4 linked regions of the Saccharomyces cerevisiae S288C genome follow. The gene in region 4 interacts genetically with the main gene of each other region. Each region holds a gene or a part of one and is shown on either strand. Other genes may lie near its edges. The genes, in order: NMT1, FAA4, LAS17 and SEC7.

Region 1 (3,704 bases), on a different chromosome or scaffold from region 4:
TTTGTCGTGGTAGGTGTGATCTCTTGAGAGTTTGAGCTTTCCTTTTGTGAGCTATCTTCAGAGTTCTGGCCATCTAAGGAACCAGAGTCTTTTTGAGCAGCGGCTAGAGTAATTAAGGTGGTAAATAATATGGAACAGGCCTTCATTTTATATATATGTTGGGTTTGTTTATATTTTCACTAGATCGGTGAGTATCTAGTCCAGAAGAGTTGATCTTTCTTACATACTTATATATGCTCACTACCGCCTTCTGAGAAAGTAGGCGTTTTTCAGCTACCTCAGTCGCTAAAAATAAATGCGAGTTCTCAAGCCAACTTGGACTCCAAGGCGGTAATTATAGTGATTCTCTTTGTCTATTTTTGGATTTATTTTGGAGGCTGACACTCTAAAGCCAGCCATTGGATTAATTATTTTTTCACTTCGTCAATTGACTATGCGGAAAAACTAAATGTGGTCAAATTCTGTCGGCTATGTACACGAAAACTATATACGCCTCGTCCTTTCAGCCACTACAACATAACAACACCGACATTGCTACGCCTTTTAATGTCGTTACTATTGTCGGGATTCAAGCCACCGGTAATCGGCTTTGCTCTATAATTAAATAAATAGAAGTTCAAGAACCCGTCACCGGGCCCGAACTTCAAATCATCCAAGAACAATGTATTATCTTGCGAAGTCAACGCGTTAAAAACATCCATATTAGCGTTTTTGGCCAAAATACAAGCGTCATAAATCAATTCACACAATCTTGTTTTCAAAGCCTTAGTAGCTTTTGGATCAAACCTGTCTTTGAATTGGAAATCTGCATCGGTGGCATAATAATACAAGTACCCGATGCCTAGGTCCTTATATTTTGTGTTATTTAGGATTGTGAATGGCAATGAGTAAAATGAGAAGAAGTCTGTAATTTTTCCATCGGGCTGTTCGACTACATATGAGAAAATTACTTGTTTATCCAATGGTAACGATTCTTCACCAATGAAATTATGTTCGAATTCTTCTTTTGTGAAAATTTGAATTAGTTCGAACCTGGATTGATATCTTTTGAACAACTCAAAAACTTGGTCAATATCTTCCTTCTTTAATTTTCTCAATCCCGCTGTCTTTGTTTTGGCCGGTAACGCATTCTCAGCAATCATATCCTCCTCTGTGTGCCCATCTGGTAACCCTGTGAAATCTACTTCATAAAGTTTCTTCCAATTCAAGGGACGATGAGTATAACGACACGTACTCACAGGTGCTGGCAAAACAATACCTGCCGTGTACAATGCATGCCAGATGTCACATTTGTTCACTCGTCTCGTAATTTCTTTAATTAGAACAGGTGTTAATCTCTTCGATCTTAGCTGTTTGTGAACGCACAAGAAATTGATTTCTACACTAGGCACTTGTTTACCTCTAACACCAAGTGTTACTGGTATGGCTGAGATAAAGGCAACTAATTTCTGTGTTTCTTTAACGCGAACACCAATATGCCAATCCTTCTTCCAACCTGGACTCTTTAAAGCCCAATTGAAGAATTCTTTGGTATAGTTAAATCTGAAGCCTGCATCGCGGTCTTCCACGTAGTTTTCATTTAGTAGAACGAAAACATCTTCAAGCTGTTTTTTGTTGTCCACATCAATACTACACCATTCGAAGCTAGACAATAAAGGTAGTGGCTTGTCAGATATATCTTCCGGTGTCTTTGGCTTATCAATGGGGCCTTCTTCCACCACCTTTTCATCGAAATCTTTGACCGGTTGCGTTCTCCAGAATTTGTGGTCTTTCATAGCTTTTTTCTGTTCTTGAGTGAATTTTGAAGTATCGTCATTATTCAACTGTAATAACTTCAATAAATTCTCTAATTTTTTCGCTTTATCCTCTTCTGACATTCTATAAATACGTTTACTACCGAAGCTCTATGACAACCAGAGCTATTGTACAGATCATTCTCTAAAAAGCGTGCAACACATATCATCTTCAATTATAGTGAATTACTTTTATCATGAGCAACGGCTGAAATTATTTTATCCTATTGTTTTATGACAGTATCCTTTCAAAAGAGTCGAAAGGATCCTCTGTTGCAAGAACTACTATTACGTAATTATACATAGTCCGCCTGCAATTTCTAGTGAGACTTTGCTTTGCTTTCCACTTTGCGATTAATATTGAGAATTTTAAACGTTAACTGAATTCTTACCCACCCATAATAAGAACTCTAACTGGCGAATTTATCATGAAACAAATCTGCAAGAATAAAAAATTAGAGAATCGTGCAATTCAATTTAATTGCCTTGTCCGTTGTAAAACTTTTCCATAGGCCCTACCTTGAGTTGATCATATGTATTATTCTATATATATTATATCCAGTCGGGTAATAAATTTTCTCGCCCTCGAAAAAAAGAAGTGAAAAATTTGTCTCGATGAGCTGAGATGAGTTTGAAAGAAGCAAAGAGTTTTAATTTGTAAACGATAGCAAGTGTACCCTCAGTTGAGTCTATTACGCCTTCCTTATTTGGAAACTTAGAAGACGAATAAAAAAAACAAAATAACTAATGATTTCTGCTACTAATTGGGTTCCAAGAGGGTTTTCCTCGGAATTTCCTGAAAAGTATGTTCTGGATGATGAGGAAGTGGAAAGAATTAACCAATTAGCACAGTTGAATTTGGATGATGCTAAAGCTACTTTGGAAGAAGCAGAAGGCGAATCAGGTGTTGAAGATGACGCCGCAACAGGTAGTTCTAATAAGTTGAAGGATCAGTTGGATATAGATGATGATTTGAAAGAATATAACCTGGAAGAATATGACGATGAGGAAATTGCAGATAATGAGGGTGGTAAAGACGTTTCCATGTTCCCGGGTTTAAGTAATGATAGCGATGTTAAATTCCATGAGGGTGAAAAAGGTGAAGATCCATATATTTCATTGCCTAATCAAGAGGATAGTCAAGAGGAGAAGCAGGAGTTACAAGTTTACCCATCCGATAATTTAGTTCTTGCTGCGAGAACAGAAGATGACGTTTCGTATTTGGATATCTACGTTTACGATGACGGTGCTGGGTTCCACAGTAGCGATATTCCCGTTGAAGAAGGTGATGAAGCTGACCCAGATGTTGCTCGTGGATTGGTTCGTGACCCTGCACTTTACGTTCACCATGATTTAATGTTGCCTGCTTTTCCACTATGTGTTGAGTGGCTTGACTACAAGGTTGGATCCAATTCCGAAGAAGCAGCCAATTATGCTGCCATTGGTACGTTTGATCCACAAATTGAAATTTGGAACTTGGACTGTGTTGACAAGGCCTTTCCCGATATGATTCTGGGTGAACCTCTTGATAATTCAATGGTGTCTTTGAAAAGCAAAAAGAAGAAGAAGAAGTCTAAGACTGGACACATTACTACTCATCATACCGATGCTGTTTTATCCATGGCACACAACAAATATTTCCGTTCCGTTTTAGCATCCACCTCTGCAGATCATACCGTAAAACTATGGGATTTGAACTCAGGTAACGCAGCCCGCTCCTTAGCTTCCATTCATTCAAACAAAAATGTTTCATCATCTGAATGGCACATGTTGAATGGTTCCATTCTTTTGACCGGTGGTTATGATTCTCGAGTAGCTTTAACAGATGTTAGAATTTCTGACGAAAGTCAAATGAGTAAATACTGGTCTGCCATGGCAGGTGAGGAAATAGAAACTGTTACATTTGCCAGT
Region 2 (4,208 bases), on a different chromosome or scaffold from region 4:
CTTGTTGCATAAATGAACGTGGGCGAGGTTTTTATTTTCAAACTTGGTGTACTATAGTGCAATGCGTTGTTAATTGTAATACGATGTTTCTTCGATAAAAGGAGCGGAGGGAGAAGGTGAAATTACGAAGGAAAGAAAGAGATGAGAAATCAAGAATGAAGCAAGACATTGATTGATATGGTTGTTTTCGGTGCATGTTTGATTACTAAAAGTTGGGGCATTCGATGGTTTACAGAAGTCATAAATTCAAATATCCCGTTTAATCGCTCATCTATTAAAATCAATAGTAGAATGTAGTTTCATACCCGGGAGAAATTCATAGTTTAGATCACGCTTAATAATGTCAATCTTGTCTTGCTGAAATGAAACTTAAACATGTTTATGTGTAATGTTATTTATTAATTATTAACTGTATCTGTAGGAGAAGAAACTATGTATTGTGCAAGTAGTTCAGGTGTTTGCAAATTGATGCTCTTAGAAAATGAAACGTAGTGTTTATGAAGGGCAGGGGGGAAAGTAAAAAACTATGTCTTCCTTTAAGTGTTTTCTTTATAAACTCTTTCCACATCTGGCTTGACAGCCGCTAGAATATCTCTTCTCTTTAATTTTTGGGCGGATGTAACAAGGCCATTTTCTGGAGTCCATTCTTCTTCAAAGAAAACAATGCCACATAATAATTCAATACCATTCAAGCCTTGAGATTTGGCAGTTGACAGCATATCTTTGCAAACGGCATCCTGTAGCTTCTTTTCATGGATATAGCTTTCGACATCTTCACCTGGTACCATTATACCTAATTCGATAGCCAGCTTAGACAAGTGTCCTAAGTTAGGGACCACAATACCGACAGGCTTAACTTTGTTTTCATCAGCGTAGACACAGATGTTTTGGACGTAAGGATTTGATCTGTAAATGGATTCTAATTTTTCCAATGCAATGTACTCACCATTTAAGGTCTTAACCAAATTTTTCTTTCTATCAATGATCTTAACTTGTCCCTTGGGGGTCCATTCAGCGATATCACCGGTACGGAACCAGCCATCATCGGTAAAGGCCGCAGCAGTTTCTTCAGGATTCTTATAGTATTCAGAACAGATGGGTGCACCCTTAAACAGCAATTCACCTTGATTATTCTTGGCAAAATAGCCCAAATCTTCGACATCCACCAATTTAGCTGTAATAGTTCCGACAAGGTCACCAGCAATACCGTAATCAAAATGTTCAGGCTCCAGGACACAGGCATTAGCCACACCCTCAGTTAGCCCATATCCAATGAGCATAGGACATAGAAGGTTGGAGAGGAATTTTTGGGCGTCTATGCTGATTGCAGACCCACCGTTCAGAATAAACCTTAAGTTTCCACCGGTTGCTTCTCTGATTCTCTTGAAGATCAACCCACTCAGCAAGCCGCTACATGGTATATTTCTCTCTTTCAAAGCATAGACAGTCCAGAAAAGCGTTTGAGACCAACCGGGCAATTCGTTGATCTTGGCCAGGATACCTTTTCTCACTGTTTCCCAAACTGCGGCGACACCCACCATTACGGTAGGTTTAAACTCCATCAGGTCACCTTGGCAATTACGTGTAGAAGTTGGGGTTAAAGTCTTGACATTGGCGTACCCTAGGATACCATTCCAGTAGAACGCTTCGAATTCAAAGGTTAATTCAAAAATATGAGCCAATGGCAAGAATGCGATAATACGGTCTGTTGGGCCAATCCATCCGATAACGTTATGGCCCACACCACCAATACCAGCTACAATGTTGTAATGTGTCAATACCACACCCTTTGGTGTACCAGTGGAACCAGAAGTGTACATGATACAAGCTGGATCTTCAGGCTTGGGGAAATGCAATTCAACCTCGTCCTTGGCCTTTTTACCTATCTCAATAATTTCATCGAAACTGTAGATTTTTATGTCCGGTCTAACTTCCTTGATTTTGTCAACAGCATCCTTGGCAGCCTTGTAAAGCTTACCATTTTGTCTTTTGTCACTTGGATCGATGGGTTCGTTGTGAATGACGAATTTTACGTTCTTGGCGGTTTTCAAAGGAACTGCTAATTTGGACAACAGCTGGTTGTCCGTGAAAATGGCGACGGAATCTGTTTCCACCATGGAGTGAATCAAACCGCTCTCACCCAAAGTGTCGTACGCGGTGACCACAGGAATACCTTGTGACATGCAACCAAGAAAAGTTTTCATCCACTTGTGAGAAGTAGAGGCAAAGATGTGGAACTTGTTCTCACCGTTAGGTTTAACACCAATCTTTATCAGCCCACGTCCAATGTCGTGCATTACGCAGATCATCTCCTCGTATGTCATGGTTATGTAGGGAGTCAGTTCGTAGTACAACCATGTTTTTTCGATGGGCTTATCCTTACCATCCACCCTCTTGACTATGGTTTTTTTCGTCTCATGTATATCTATAATATCTCTCCATGCCATACCGTCTCTCTTACCACCCTTGGTAAAACATTCCAGGGCGAATTCGTACAGTGTAGATGCTGAGGAGTTTATGGGTCTAATCAAAGGCTGGTCTTTAACCCTGATATTTCTTCTTGGAGCGGTTTCATGCTCATTGGCGGCTTCGCCAACTGCAACGGAATATTGTTCGGTCATTTTGATGCGTACTTCTTAGTTTTTCAAGAAATAGTGAAGAACAGAGAAAAAAATGATGTGTTACTAATGCTGGTTCTTTTGTATTCTCGCTTTTATGTCAACTCAGAGGGGTTGCAAACAAAAGAAAGAATGATCAGTTATTGTCTATCTGTTGAGCCTTATCTGAAAGAGGTAGAACAAAAGATGGGCTGTTTTTGTTGGGGTAAAGCGGCGCCGCGAATGTTCTTAATGAGGTGAAAAGAATGCAGAAGAGAAAGATGAGGGCTAAGAGTAGAAAGAACGAGATGAACGAAGGCCGAGAAACACCCAGAATAGAAAAATAGATCGCCGACAATCGAGGGTTCTTAATTGATGGGGACATCGTTGGAGCTTATATAAGTTTGCCGCTACTTGGCGAAGATGGTTGAGCTGGGCGGTTCGGTTTGCGCTTTTGTCTTTCTTGTTACTAAGTATGATTGTTTTTTGTTGGGAAACGGCAAAGACGCGCAGCCAAAAAGCCGAACAGTTTAGTGAGTCTCTTCTTTAAGCGCCCAACACGCTCCATCGTGTTGGATAAAGCGTATGCAACAATTATTTCGGCATCGAACCCGCGGAATAAGCATCGGCTCGGGAGATATTTTTGTTTAGTTGGTATTGTTATCGTGTATAAATTTCTGTCCCTGTGCATTGTGATGTAAATGGCCTATTGTATTGTCAGGTCCCTGTCCGTTCCTTGATGGTATATTGGCACCTGAGCAAATCCAACAAAACCGGGCTCGCCCGCGCGGAAGAAAGTGCGATTGACGATTGTAGCTGAGCTGAACAAAAGAGACGGACATGTGAAACGGTGCTGCGGTGGTAGGTGCTGCTTTGTAGAATGGGGGAGAAGATTCGCCTACATACATACATACATACATACATAGACGGGTACTATTGTAGCGCTGCGCAGGAACATAGATACACGAATATACAGAAAGGAATAGTAGTAATATAGCGATGGGCTTATTTTCATTTGATGGTGGCAAAAAGGAATCACAACCCCCTAATACCCGTTCACAGAGAAAGTTGTGCTGGGAGTCCAGGGACGCATTCTTCCAGTGTTTGGACAAGGCAGACATCTTGGACGCAATGGACCCCAAGAATAGCAAGAGTATAAAGTCGCACTGCAAGGTGGAAAATGAAAAATTTGAGGAGAATTGCGCCCATAGCTGGATCAAGTACTTCAAGGAGAAGAGGGTCATCGACTTTAAGAGAGAGCAGACCATCAAGAGAATCGAGCAGGAAGCTAAACAGAGGGAACGAAATCAGTGAGTTTTTAGTGAGTTATTGGCTCATATTAACATATATATTCCCATAAAACATTTGACAGAAAGGTAATAATTAAAGGATAGTCATGTAGATACAAACGAAAATTTTATGTTTTTTTCTTCGTTTTGCGAAAATTCGCATGAGTGTCTCTGTATATATATATAACAAAAAGATGAAAAAAGGGAAGGTAGAAAAAACCGCGCTAAGTTTTGGCAGTGACGGTGACTGTCTTGTACTTGGTCTCGGTGACCGTTGTGGTAATAACGTCTAGCGGATTCAGTTCTCTCTTGCCTTTAGAAG
Region 3 (4,338 bases), on a different chromosome or scaffold from region 4:
CGGTTCTCTAGCTCGTGCTGGTAAAGTTAAGTCTCAAACTCCAAAGGTTGAAAAAACTGAAAAGCCAAAGAAACCAAAGGGTCGTGCTTACAAGAGATTATTGTACACCAGAAGATTCGTTAACGTTACCTTGGTTAACGGTAAGAGAAGAATGAACCCAGGTCCATCTGTCCAATAGATACTATCTAAAATTCTATACTTTTATTGTTCTACATGTGTAATTAAACAAAAATATTATAATTAGGAAATATTTACCCTTTTTACATGGGTTTTTGATTCGAACTGCTAAAATCTAGGATTTACTATACATCATTTTCTCAAACATTTGAAACGGCCATAGGGATGGCCATCATTGTAGCCCGACTATTACCTTGATCATTCAATCACTGACCGCCTTTGAACCTATATCAAAATTTCCTCCGATTAAAGAAACTATACATAAAAAGAGCAATTACTTTGATCATTAATAGTGAGTACATAAAATTACATATTTTCTATAACAGTAGTTTCATCTTTGTTTGCATTCCATTACCAATCATCACCATTGTCCATATCGTCATGAGCTCCCACTTTAGTTTTTCTTTTGTTTAAAGCTGCTGCCAACGCATCTGCTAAAGAAGCCGGAGGTCCACCAGGTGTGCCTCCATTTCCAGCCGCTGCTGGTGGTGAAGCAGATTCTCCACGTGCTTCCTGCAGTAAAACTGAGGGCTTATCTAGCTGCGATTTGTCAACTTTTCTCAAAGCGCCTATGCCACCTGCCCCTCTAATTGAAGCTAAAAGTGCATCACGACCTGCATCTCCAGTAGTTTCAGCGAATGAACCGCCTCCGGATGTTGATGTAGCTGGCATTTGAGGAGGTGGGGGTGGAGCTGGAGCTCCTCCAGATTGAGGTTGTTGAGTTAGGAATGCTGGTGGCGGAGGTGGTGCAGCACTCGTCGTCGATGGTAACGTTGGCGGAATAGGTGCTGAGGGTGCTGACTGAGGTATCTGCGACTGGCCTAAAGATGCCGGAGGAGGTGGTGGTGCCACTGGCACATTTGTGGCTTGCGAAGGTGCTTGAGTATTCTGAGGAAGGGGAACTGCAGGTTGTCCAGTTGCTGCAGTCATTTGTGGTGTCAGGGTATTGAAAGTTGTCACTGGAGGAGGGGGTGGAGATGACATGTTGCTATTTGTCTGATATCCAAAGGGGCGGTTAGAATTATTGTACTGTTGTGGATTTTGTTGCATCGTAACGTTTGGTGTGGGGCGAGATGCTCTTGGAGGAGGTGGTGGTGCTGGCCCTCTTCTTCCAGTGGCCTGTGGAAGGAGGCTATTTCCACCGGCAGAATTCAGGGTATTACTGGTTACGTGCCTATGTGGTGGAGGCGGTGGTGCTGGCCCACGCCTTGGCGGAGGTGGAGGAGCAGGTAGGCGAACACCTGAACCTTCAGTAGTGGTACGCATTGGCGGAGGAGGTGGCACAGGCCGATTATTTCTGTTAGGCAACTGTGGAAGGGGCCTATTCTGCTGTGGTATGCCCATTGAAGGAGCTTGATTAAACTGCTGCTGAGGTACCGGAAATGGAAATGGGTTTGTTGCAGACTGTGTCGAGGGAATTTCAGGAATTGGGAATGGAAATGGATTGCTTTGGGGTTGCGAAGGCGCGTTATTTTGAGGTGGAGAGTTATGTTGTGGAGGGTCTGGTAATGGCGCAAACTGATTTGGTAAAGGCGGTAAACTATGCTTTGGATGCGTTTCTTCTTTTCTTACTTCAGGAGATGCAGGAGGAAGAGCAGGGGCTGGGGTAGTCGGTGCGGATGCTGTTGTCGAATTGATATCGGAAAATGAACTTGTTTGGTCTGAATCAAATGTTTCGGCCGTTGGCGGAGGAGGGGGAGGAGCCTTATGCTTTGTAGTTGGAATTGTGTCCACATCTTCATAATTATATCTTTTCCTTTGATTGTCAATCAATGACTCCCCTCTTGGGCCGTGCACCACTTGAGATTTTTGTTCTTCTCTTACTTTCTTGGTTAATGCTACAGCATTTTTGTTCAACAAAGTTTTCCTGTTAGCATATCTTTCACGCTTTTGAACTCTCTTTAAAAAGTGCGATGCTTCATTAATATCTACAAACAATAAACCTGCAAAGCATTCTTCCATCTCAAATGTATGAAAAAAAGTACGGTCTTGATAGTATTCAAAATTCACATACAATTCTTGGTCCCAGATAACTCCTCTATGGCCATTGATGTCAACTAATTTCAAAAAAAAAGTATTCCCCACAAGATCGTCTACTAGAGCAAGAGCTCCTGAAAGTCCAGTGTACTGCCATTCATTTTTATCAGGGTATGCAATGTATAGTCGAGCCACCGTAACATCAATAATCTTATTCGACGCTTTTGGTAGAGCCCTTTTGATAATTTCCTTATCTGAAGAGTTTAGGAGTCCCATATTAAATCACGCCTATCAACACTTAAAGTAACGAACTGTAATTTGTAGCGGAGATGGCAATCGCTACAGCACTTCCTTTTCTACTATGTATATTCTACATTCAATATTTATTATTACATATTCATGATTTTTTTTCATAGGTATTGACTGGCCCCTTTTCGGACGTCTCGCACGTATTCAATGATCATATAAACTATTTGGAAAATTCAAAAAAAAACAACTATAAGATCAGTTAAGACTTATATCATAGATCTTTTAAACCAGAGACACAATTTCAAGTACCATGGGCAACTGCTTGCATTGCATTTAGTTTTGCCTTTTTTCTAATTGCAAAAGAAGAGTATTCCAAAACCACTTCTTTGATAAATCGTCCACGTCAGCCGGCGTTACTTGAAACTAAACGCATACTTTATGAAAAAGGGCCATCAACTTGTCTTTTTGTTAACATTCATTTTGAAAATATGAACTTTGGTATAATTGAAAATCTAGCATATCTATATTTTTTGAATATATTTAGGCGATAACTTAAAAAAGCATTGTTTCAGTTCTGAAGTTTGTTGCTTGTTTCTATTCTTTACTGGATGTCTGAAACCCCAAAAAAAAAAAAAAAAAAAGGACTCCACAAGTAGCGGCTGTAAGCGCGCTAAACTCCGACAGTGTATTATATATACGTAAACGATCCTGATAGAAAAATCCAATCCATTACCCCGGGATTATTTTATTACAGAGTAGGATTTTCTGGTGTTAAGTCTAGTGAGTTATCTTCTAACTATGAGCAGTCGTGTGTGCTACCATATTAATGGTCCCTTTTTCATAATCAAATTAATTGATCCAAAACATTTGAACTCTTTAACTTTCGAGGATTTTGTATACATTGCACTATTACTGCATAAGGCAAACGATATTGATTCTGTTTTGTTTACTGTTCTACAAAGCTCAGGCAAGTATTTCTCCTCGGGAGGTAAGTTTTCAGCAGTTAACAAGCTAAACGATGGAGACGTTACAAGCGAAGTGGAGAAAGTCTCAAAGCTGGTATCTGCTATAAGCTCTCCTAACATATTTGTGGCGAACGCATTTGCAATCCATAAAAAGGTTCTGGTGTGCTGTTTGAATGGACCGGCCATCGGACTTAGCGCATCGCTAGTTGCTCTTTGTGACATTGTTTACTCGCAAAACGATTCAGTATTTCTTCTTTTTCCCTTCAGCAATCTCGGTTTTGTCGCAGAAGTGGGAACTTCTGTTACCTTAACTCAAAAACTGGGTATAAATTCTGCAAACGAACATATGATTTTCAGCACACCAGTTCTATTTAAAGAATTGATAGGAACTATTATTACAAAAAATTATCAATTGACAAATACTGAAACATTCAATGAAAAAGTTCTTCAGGACATAAAGCAGAATTTAGAAGGGCTTTATCCGAAAAGTGTACTAGGTATGAAAGAATTGTTACACAGTGAAATGAAACAGAAGCTTATCAAAGCACAAGCAATGGAGACTAACGGAACCTTGCCTTTTTGGGCAAGCGGCGAGCCATTCAAAAGATTTAAACAGCTTCAAGAGGGAAACAGGCGCCACAAGTTATAATAATATAGCATTTAGAGATAGGATTTTAACATAAAAAATCTACTACACGATCATACTTCTGCAATTGTTAAATTCCGGGTTCTTTAATACTTTAATGTTGGCGCACAATATTTTATATCTGTTGTAAAATCCGCTTACAATATAAGTGAAATTGTTCCATTTTGTTTCATAGGAATTCTTACTCAAAAAGGATGTTTTTTAATATTCATATAATATTTACAAATAGCTCTCTGAAAAAAAGGATTTTTTTTTACACCTAATAAAACTGTCATTCATGTTAAGTAACTAAAGTGCTTCACAACTGTACTTAATGAACTGAAT
Region 4 (7,650 bases):
CTGGACCATTCAACAAAGCCTTAATCAGTAGAAAGGTATAATTCACCAACTCTGCTTAGAAATTGTTTTATAGCATGTCTCAACTCCGTTGGAACGCTCTTATCTAATATTTGAATCACCAGAGCATACATAGCAGGACAGTATAGTCTAAAGTCTTCATCATCAAATTCGTAGTAACCTTGTAATATTTCAACTATCACTGAACGCCAGGCATTGATACTACGTTCCATGGTTCTATCATCCAAAGAAACATAACCCTCTACGACCTGGATGCAAATGGTGATCAGACGAGTTATTAAATCAGCCTTCTTCTCATCATCGTTCAGATACAACTGAAACATAATGTCAAGGAGAACTGCAGCAGCACTCGTTTCTTGTTTCAACAGGTTTGGTATTTTATCAACTACACGAGCCTCTACTAGTCTTGTTCTTAACCCATAATCTTCATTAAAGTCACGAGAAAATTCGTACGATTTCTCCAACAATCTTGTAATTCTAATGGCTTCCTTGTAAGGGATACAGTGGGCAAAATCTTCGTTCTCGAATAATTCGTTGAGCAGCTCTATCATCAAAAGCTGTAAAACACATTTGACAACAATAGAATTCTTGATGTTTATTCTCCTACGTATATCTTCGTTACTTTCGTTTCGTTTCATGTGCTTAGTTTTCTTGGGGATACTTAGACTAGCGGGCTTTGGATTCAATTCGTCCTTTACCGTCGGAACGGAATTGCCATTATTAAGCTTAGTTTGCCCATTGAGTGTTTCAACCATGTCACCACCAACGTCTTCGCTGGATTCTTCTTGATGCGCTCTTTCGACCGTCTCACTGATATTAGAATCGTTCTCCCTTCTGTCGTTGCTATCATCATCTGAGTGTTGGCTGGTATCATTAGTTGTTTGGTGATGAGATACAGATGATTTTCTTCCTTGCTGTAACGGATCATAATCGAACAATTCATTAGCAGTGGTTAAATCAAACAATTTATCGAATACGTCACCTATTTGATTCCAATGGTACTCATTGAATTTAGATACGTTTTGCAATATCAATTGTTGCAGGCAGGATCTCCCAATTCTAGCAATAGTGTCATTTTCTTGACAAATACAGGATACCAGCAGACCCAAAAATCCATCGAGCATTCTGTTCAACGATTCAAAGTAATGCGTAAAAAGGGCAATCAAGTTCCTTAAGGCTTGAATTAACGTGGTCGAAAGCCAAACACTTAAATCATCATGACTATTGAATTGGTTGACTTCCCAATGTTTGGATAATACACCGAAAATAGGAAATAGTAACTTCTTACAAATCTTTTCCCAGAAATCATCATTGAATTTACCACCATATGCCACTAGGGCATCGAACATATAGTTTAATGCACGTGATCTAACTTCTAAGTCTTCAGCTGTCATGATCGTATCATTGAAGCAGAATAACATAGGGAACCACACATCCTGGAATATGTCTTTCCCACGAAGTAAAGCATCGTTATGTTTTCTTTCTTCTTCAGTCTTATTTTCATTGTAAAAACAGATGTCTGCGACGTTCTGAGTCATCTTTCTTAGAGACTCCAAAGCATGTAGAGATAGCTTTTGGAATCTCTTATTTTTGGTGATTTCTCTGAAGACACCAACTAACTCAGAAAAGGCATCTTCTTGAGAGAATACGTTTTCGAAGTGATTTGTCACAATATCATTGCTAACCAGCAATTGCGTCTTTAATACAATGGATTCAGTGCTTGAGCGAGCCGTATATTGTAAGGATTCAAGAATAGGCTTCCAGCCAGATTTGATACTTTCCGATTTTGTCAATATGAAGTTCCTAAAACACTCAATAATCATTTCTTGAACTTCAGTGTTGCCACTATTTTGAACCGTGTATTCAAAAGGTTTTAAAAAATCATGTTGAAATTCAAAACCTGATAATTCCTCAATATCTAAAAATCTCATAGACAATTGACGCAGGGAATCGATAGCGAAAAATACTACTGCTAAGTTAGAGTTTGTAGCAATCTTGTTGAAAGCTTTTCCCATAACAGCCCAAAGCGGCGTCCATTCTAGTTTGATACGATCCATATTGTAGTAACATACATCGACCATTTTTTGCAAGGAAAACATTCTTGGTGTGGAAGCATTTTCAGATGATTCAATTTCTTCTAAAGATACAGCGGTTAAAGCTTTGATAAAATCAACGATAGCATTACCTGATAACTCGGAACTTTTGGTAAATATATTGTCCATCAAAACGACTAATTCACTGGAGGAAATGAATTTAGAGATTTCGGGTGATAAGGTTTGATTATGGTGTTTTTCTTGAGCCAATTCTGTGGGAGTTGCCTTCTTGCCCCAAACATCAAAGAAAGATGTATTATTGGATCTTGATGATTCGTAAGAAACTCTAGGGTTTGCAACACGAGCTTGTGCAACATCTGGAACCGTATCTCTGTCGATACCTTTGGATATCAATTGTAGTCTTTCCATTTGAGACACGACCAGCAAAATGTCCTTCCACGATCCCTCCAAGTAATTTCCTTCTGATAACGCGACTTCAAGAAGAATTACCATTGCATTGACATTTTTAACTTTGATTTCTTCAAGGTTTTGAAGGTTACAAAATTGGACTAACGCACCTACAAAGGAGGTTCTAGCATCATTGATTCTAAAAGTAGAAGCAATTTTAATTGATATTTTCAAGCCTTCTAAACACTTATTGGTTGTGTCAATGTCATCATAATCCTTAAATGGGGGGGTTAGAGCTGCTAAAAAGGACATCCATAGTGTCTCGAAAATTGATTTAACATGCTCAACGTGGGAAGCAGCATAATAGACGTCTGGGCCTCCTTTATTTTTGTTTAAATTCTTAAAGACTAATTCCGTTTTAGATGAAATTTCTTTTGAGACTTGATTATATGCCTCTCTTGTCAAATCACGAGAATTAAAGAAGTTGAAAGCAGATTGCTGTTGTTGGACAAGATTGGTATCACCTGAAAGCATTGCCTGATGCTGTTCAGAAATTAACTTGATTTCATTGTTAGCAATTTCGTTGAACAAACCTTCCAAGAAGTCTCTTGGTAAATCTCTTCCGTTGTCAATACCTTCGTTGTTTTCTAAAAACTCTTGTAAAGACATTTTATTTTTGATTTGTGACGAATGTAAATCAGTATTCAACATGATCAAAGAATACGAAAGCACATATGCAGTATCCGCCTTTGAAAAGACTCCGGGGTTTTGGTCCACAAATCTTTCCGCAAATTTCAGCATGAATCTGTCAATTTTTTGACCTTCTCCAGGCAATCTGAAACTTTGTAAAAATGACCTTAATGCGTCAACAATGGACATACCAGTGAAGTCAAACTCATCAACAAATGCGTGCATTATAGCGATGTTCTTGTCGTCTCCTTCGCCTAGATAATCCCCAACAGCGGCCATGTCGAGGCCTTCTGTTTCTAATAACCACTTGGCAATGGAAATTGGAGAATCATCTTTCAAAAATCCTTTTTTAATAAGTACTGGAATAGCTTTCTTGGGTTTATTGTTGAAAATAGCAATACATTCCGATAAAGCAGTTTTCCTTAGTTTCAAATTTTCAAATTGTGTGGGGTCGTCTGCGTCAATGTTTTGACTGCTCAATGATCTGCTTTCTTCGTCTTCATATGTTGGTTTGAAGTCATCATTACTTGTCATAATAGAAGACCTTACGTCGTTACTCAAAGATGATCTAGATTCTTGACGAGCTGAAGATGTTGTGTTTAGTAATACCTTATTAGCAGTGTGTGTGTTTGGATTTAAAGCTTTGTGAGCCCATGAGCTTAAGGAACGCAAAACTGACACAATGCAATTTAGTGACACCATTTTGAGAGCAAAATCAAGTGGAAAAAGTAAATTGACTTGACCAACATCAGGACTAGAAGACAAGTTGGAAGAAGTCAAAAGGGGCAATTGTGAGAAATTGTAGGTGGACAGGGATTTTGATATTTGTTCATCGTAGTATGATCTTTGAGTCTGAGTAATTTCCACCCTAGTTAAAGCCAATCTTGTCAAATAATCAACAGTTATTTCCATTACATTTGGCATTCCAGGGTTACAATCATAATTCAAGTAAAATTCAACTAAAGTTCTTGGGTCGTTACAAATTCGTTGAATAACACTTAAAAAATATCTCTTTTGTTGGGAGGTGGAAGTGGTTAATTCTGAAATGGGGAAGTAGATTTCTGTTAAAAAAACTGGAATTTCCTTCACGAAATCTGCTCTCAAATTAGCAATCAATAGCCACATAATTTCTAAAGTAACCTCGAAAACTGGAGCTAGAGGCGAGGCAGCATTCCTTGATAAAACAAGACGTAAATATTGTCTAATTGAATCGATAAAGCACACACGCTCCTTTCCTGGTAGAAAAATGTTGTGGGAAAGGAATACGTCAATATGATCTTTGATAATAGAGTAAATGATGTGAAGAGATAAAAGCTTTGACCTGACGGCATGTGACCTCATGTCGAGTTCTGTTTCCAAAGGTTTAGCACATATTTTCGCCATGACTCTAAACACTAAGAACGCATCTTTAACAGCTAGATCTTGGTTAGTTATGGCGATAGAATCAGGCTGTTGAGCGTCCATTAGTCTTTCCTCATCGTCATTCAACTTATCCATATTTTCCAGAGTTAAAGGAGCCGGCGTTTCTGCATTTTCAGAAGCCTCGGAAAGTTCTATGGCGGATTGTTGTTGATGATTTTTTGTCGATAAGGATACTGCTGAAGAGGTACTTTGTTTGAGATCGATTTTATCATACACCGAACTAATAATTTGTGTCAAGGTCGCCTGTGCAATACCTTGATTGGATGGGTTCAACGAAAAGACGAAAACGTTGTAGATTGTTCTGATAGCCTTTAGCAAGGAAGCACCGTGGCATAAAGAACTTGAATCCTCTTCTAAAATGCAACTAGATAAAGCTCTAACGATTTGTAGTTCCACACGGTCATCAGTGCCTTCACCTTGAAAACAGTCTGAAATAGTATCAATTGCAGCGTCTATAATTTTTTGTTTTGGAGGCGGCGTTATTCCATCGGCAGCATCTTGTCGTTGATCATTAGAGGCTAAAGAATCGGGTGGATTCACTAACAGGGTCTCGTCTAGCGATCTAAAAGAAAACAATTTTGACAGGCAATCTAAAGCCAAACTTTGAACTTTGGAGGATTTGGTACGACAGCTTGCCCTTAGTGCTTCGAATACTAGTATTGAATCCACGTAATGTGGGTTATTCGTGGTTTGCGGATCAAATTCCTTAAATTTTTGTAATGTCCTTTCGATAGCCTTCTGAGCATTCGAATTCTTTTTAATGTCCTTATCATTTAAAATTGTCTCCAACGTAGTTTTCACTAAAATTATGGTTGAGTTTGTGTTCGAACCATTTGAAGATAGTGATATGTTCCTCGTATGGGTAGACCTTGGGGCAGTAGAATCGTTGGTGGGAACACTATCTTGATGAGCGATAGCTGGTTCGCCAGCATTTTCCTCTTCTTCTTCTTCTTCTTCTTCTTCTTCTTCTTCTTCTGACCCGCTTTCATCACCAGAGGAGCTGTTTGATGTATTTCCATCGCTTTCATCAGATTCTTCATCTTCTCCAGAGCTACTCTCAGTACTTTCCCCTGAGACTGATTCAGAATCTTCCCCGTCTTCGGAACTGGTTTCGGAACTACTGCTATCCACGTCCTCATCATCCTCGTCCCCATTGTCTTCATCTTCATCTTCATCTTCATCTTCATCTTCATCTCCATCTTCACCTTCATCGTCATGGCGTTTGTCATTTGTATCTTCCGTTTCTTCGGGCGTTTTCATTCCGTTGGTAGCGTCGTTACTTGTTTCTTTTGTTTCTGCCGTACTGCCAGCGTTTTCTGGCCCTTTGCATTTTTGATCTTCACCATTTGTCTCTTTAGCTTCTTCTTTAATAGCATTCTGTGGTTTCACAGACGGATTGACTGAAGAAGCAGTCTCTACATTTGAAGATATTTCGCCATCCCCTTTTTCAGCATTTACTACTGAATTCTGTTCAGACATCAGATATAGTAGCACTTAGACTTGTTTCTTATCTTCTTTAATGGAATTCGGGGAAAAAATGAGAAAGAAACAGTTTAAGATATTACTTTTTATTGGTTCTGGAGAAACTTAAAAGAAATCGAGTATAGCTTAGTTGCAGAAAATATTTTATATTTCTCCGGAAAATGACTTCAATTTCTATTAGTCTGCGTTTATTGAACAATTGGAGAGAAGCCAATGATGCTTTTTAAAGAAATGATGTAAATCCCAACTTTGAGCTTCCTTTCTCGTTGCTTTGTTTTTCCCTCGCCTCGATATTATAAAATTTACTCGGCGCCTTGATAAAAACTAAACGTTCACCTTCTTTCCTGTAGAGGGAAAATAACAATATGTATAAGCCTTCTCCGACATCAAAAAACTGTAAGAGCTTCAAAAGTACTAAAGTGTATATCTTAAGAGCATCGTTGGCTCCACTCTAACACATCAACAAAAAATATCAATGTTGATTTGTTAGAGTAAAAATAAAAAGAGGTCCTACCCGGATTCGAACCGGGGTTGTCCGGATCAAAACCGAAAGTGATAACCACTACACTATAGGACCGACAATTCATGTTAAATCCTCCTTTTTTAGGCTTTTATAAGTTACTTTGACTAGAGATGACTAGAAATGATTATATTACACGCACACACAATACACACATAGTGTTGGAATAAAAATCCACTATCGTCTATCAACTAATAGTTATATTATCAATATATTATCATATACGGTGTTAAGATGATGACATAAGTTATGAGAAGCTGTCATCGAAGTTAGAGGAAGCTGAAGTGCAAGGATTGATAATGTAATAGGATAATGAAACATATAAAACAGAATGAGGAATAATCGTAATATTGGTATATAGAAATATAGATTCCATTATGGGGATTCCTGACCCTCGAGGAGAACTTCTAGTATATTCTGTATACCTAATATTATAGCCTTTATCAACAATGGAATCCCAACAATTATCTCAACATTCACCCATTTCTCATGGTAGCGCCTGTGCTTCGGTTACTTCTAAAGAAGTCCAAACAACTCAAGATCCGTTAGACATTTCAGCTTCCAAAACAGAAGAATGTGAGAAGGTTTTCACTCAGGCTAATTCTCAACAGCCAACAACACCTCCCTCAGCTGCTGTTCCAGAGAACCATCATCATGCCTCTCCTCAAGCTGCTCAAGTACCATTGCCACAAAATGGGCCGTACCCACAGCAGCGAATGATGACTCCCCAACAAGCCAATATTTCTGGTTGGCCAGTATACGGGCACCCATCTTTGATGCCGTATCCACCTTATCAAATGTCACCTATGTACGCTCCACCTGGAGCACAATCACAGTTTACACAATATCCACAATATGTTGGAACACATTTGAACACCCCGTCACCTGAGTCAGGTAATTCATTTCCTGATTCATCCTCAGCAAAGTCTAATATGACATCCACTAATCAACATGTCAGACCACCGCCAATCTTAACCTCACCTAATGACTTTCTAAATTGGGTTAAAATATACATCAAATTTTTACAAAATTCGAATCTCGGTGATATTATTCCGACAGCAACAAGAAAAGCCGTAC

The links.
Region 1: mutations in SEC7 (region 4) and NMT1 together harm fitness more than expected from each alone (negative genetic interaction), as found in Saccharomyces cerevisiae (2 studies listed by BioGRID).
Region 2: mutations in SEC7 (region 4) and FAA4 together harm fitness less than expected from each alone (positive genetic interaction), as found in Saccharomyces cerevisiae (one large-scale study listed by BioGRID).
Region 3: mutations in SEC7 (region 4) and LAS17 are lethal when combined (synthetic lethality), as found in Saccharomyces cerevisiae (one large-scale study listed by BioGRID).

What each region holds. Positions count from the first base shown.
Region 1 is NC_001144.5:541,428-545,131, forward strand, and holds NMT1 (glycylpeptide N-tetradecanoyltransferase NMT1), read right to left. Parts: upstream 1,878-3,704; coding exon 510-1,877; downstream 1-509. Other genes in the region: NCW2 (Ncw2p), read right to left, coding at 1-146; rRNA-processing protein PWP1, read left to right, coding at 2,541-3,704. UniProt on the Saccharomyces cerevisiae protein: Adds a myristoyl group to the N-terminal glycine residue of certain cellular proteins. Substrate specificity requires an N-terminal glycine in the nascent polypeptide substrates.
Region 2 is NC_001145.3:758,220-762,427, reverse strand, and holds FAA4 (long-chain fatty acid-CoA ligase FAA4), read right to left. Parts: upstream 2,622-4,208; coding exon 537-2,621; downstream 1-536. Other genes in the region: COA6 (Coa6p), read left to right, coding at 3,597-3,911; YMR244W (uncharacterized protein), read right to left, coding at 4,111-4,208. UniProt on the Saccharomyces cerevisiae protein: Activates long-chain fatty acids (LCFA) by esterification of the fatty acids into metabolically active CoA-thioesters for subsequent degradation or incorporation into phospholipids.
Region 3 is NC_001147.6:674,031-678,368, reverse strand, and holds LAS17 (actin-binding protein LAS17), read right to left. Parts: upstream 2,431-4,338; coding exon 529-2,430; downstream 1-528. Other genes in the region: 40S ribosomal protein eS30 RPS30B, read left to right, coding at 1-178; putative dodecenoyl-CoA isomerase DCI1, read left to right, coding at 3,202-4,017.
Region 4 is NC_001136.10:796,173-803,822, forward strand, and holds SEC7 (Arf family guanine nucleotide exchange factor SEC7), read right to left. Parts: upstream 6,051-7,650; coding exon 21-6,050; downstream 1-20. Other genes in the region: YDR170W-A (gag protein), read left to right, coding at 7,023-7,650. UniProt on the Saccharomyces cerevisiae protein: Guanine exchange factor that acts as an activator of ARF1 at the trans-Golgi network and is thus involved in vesicular budding and traffic between compartments of the Golgi apparatus.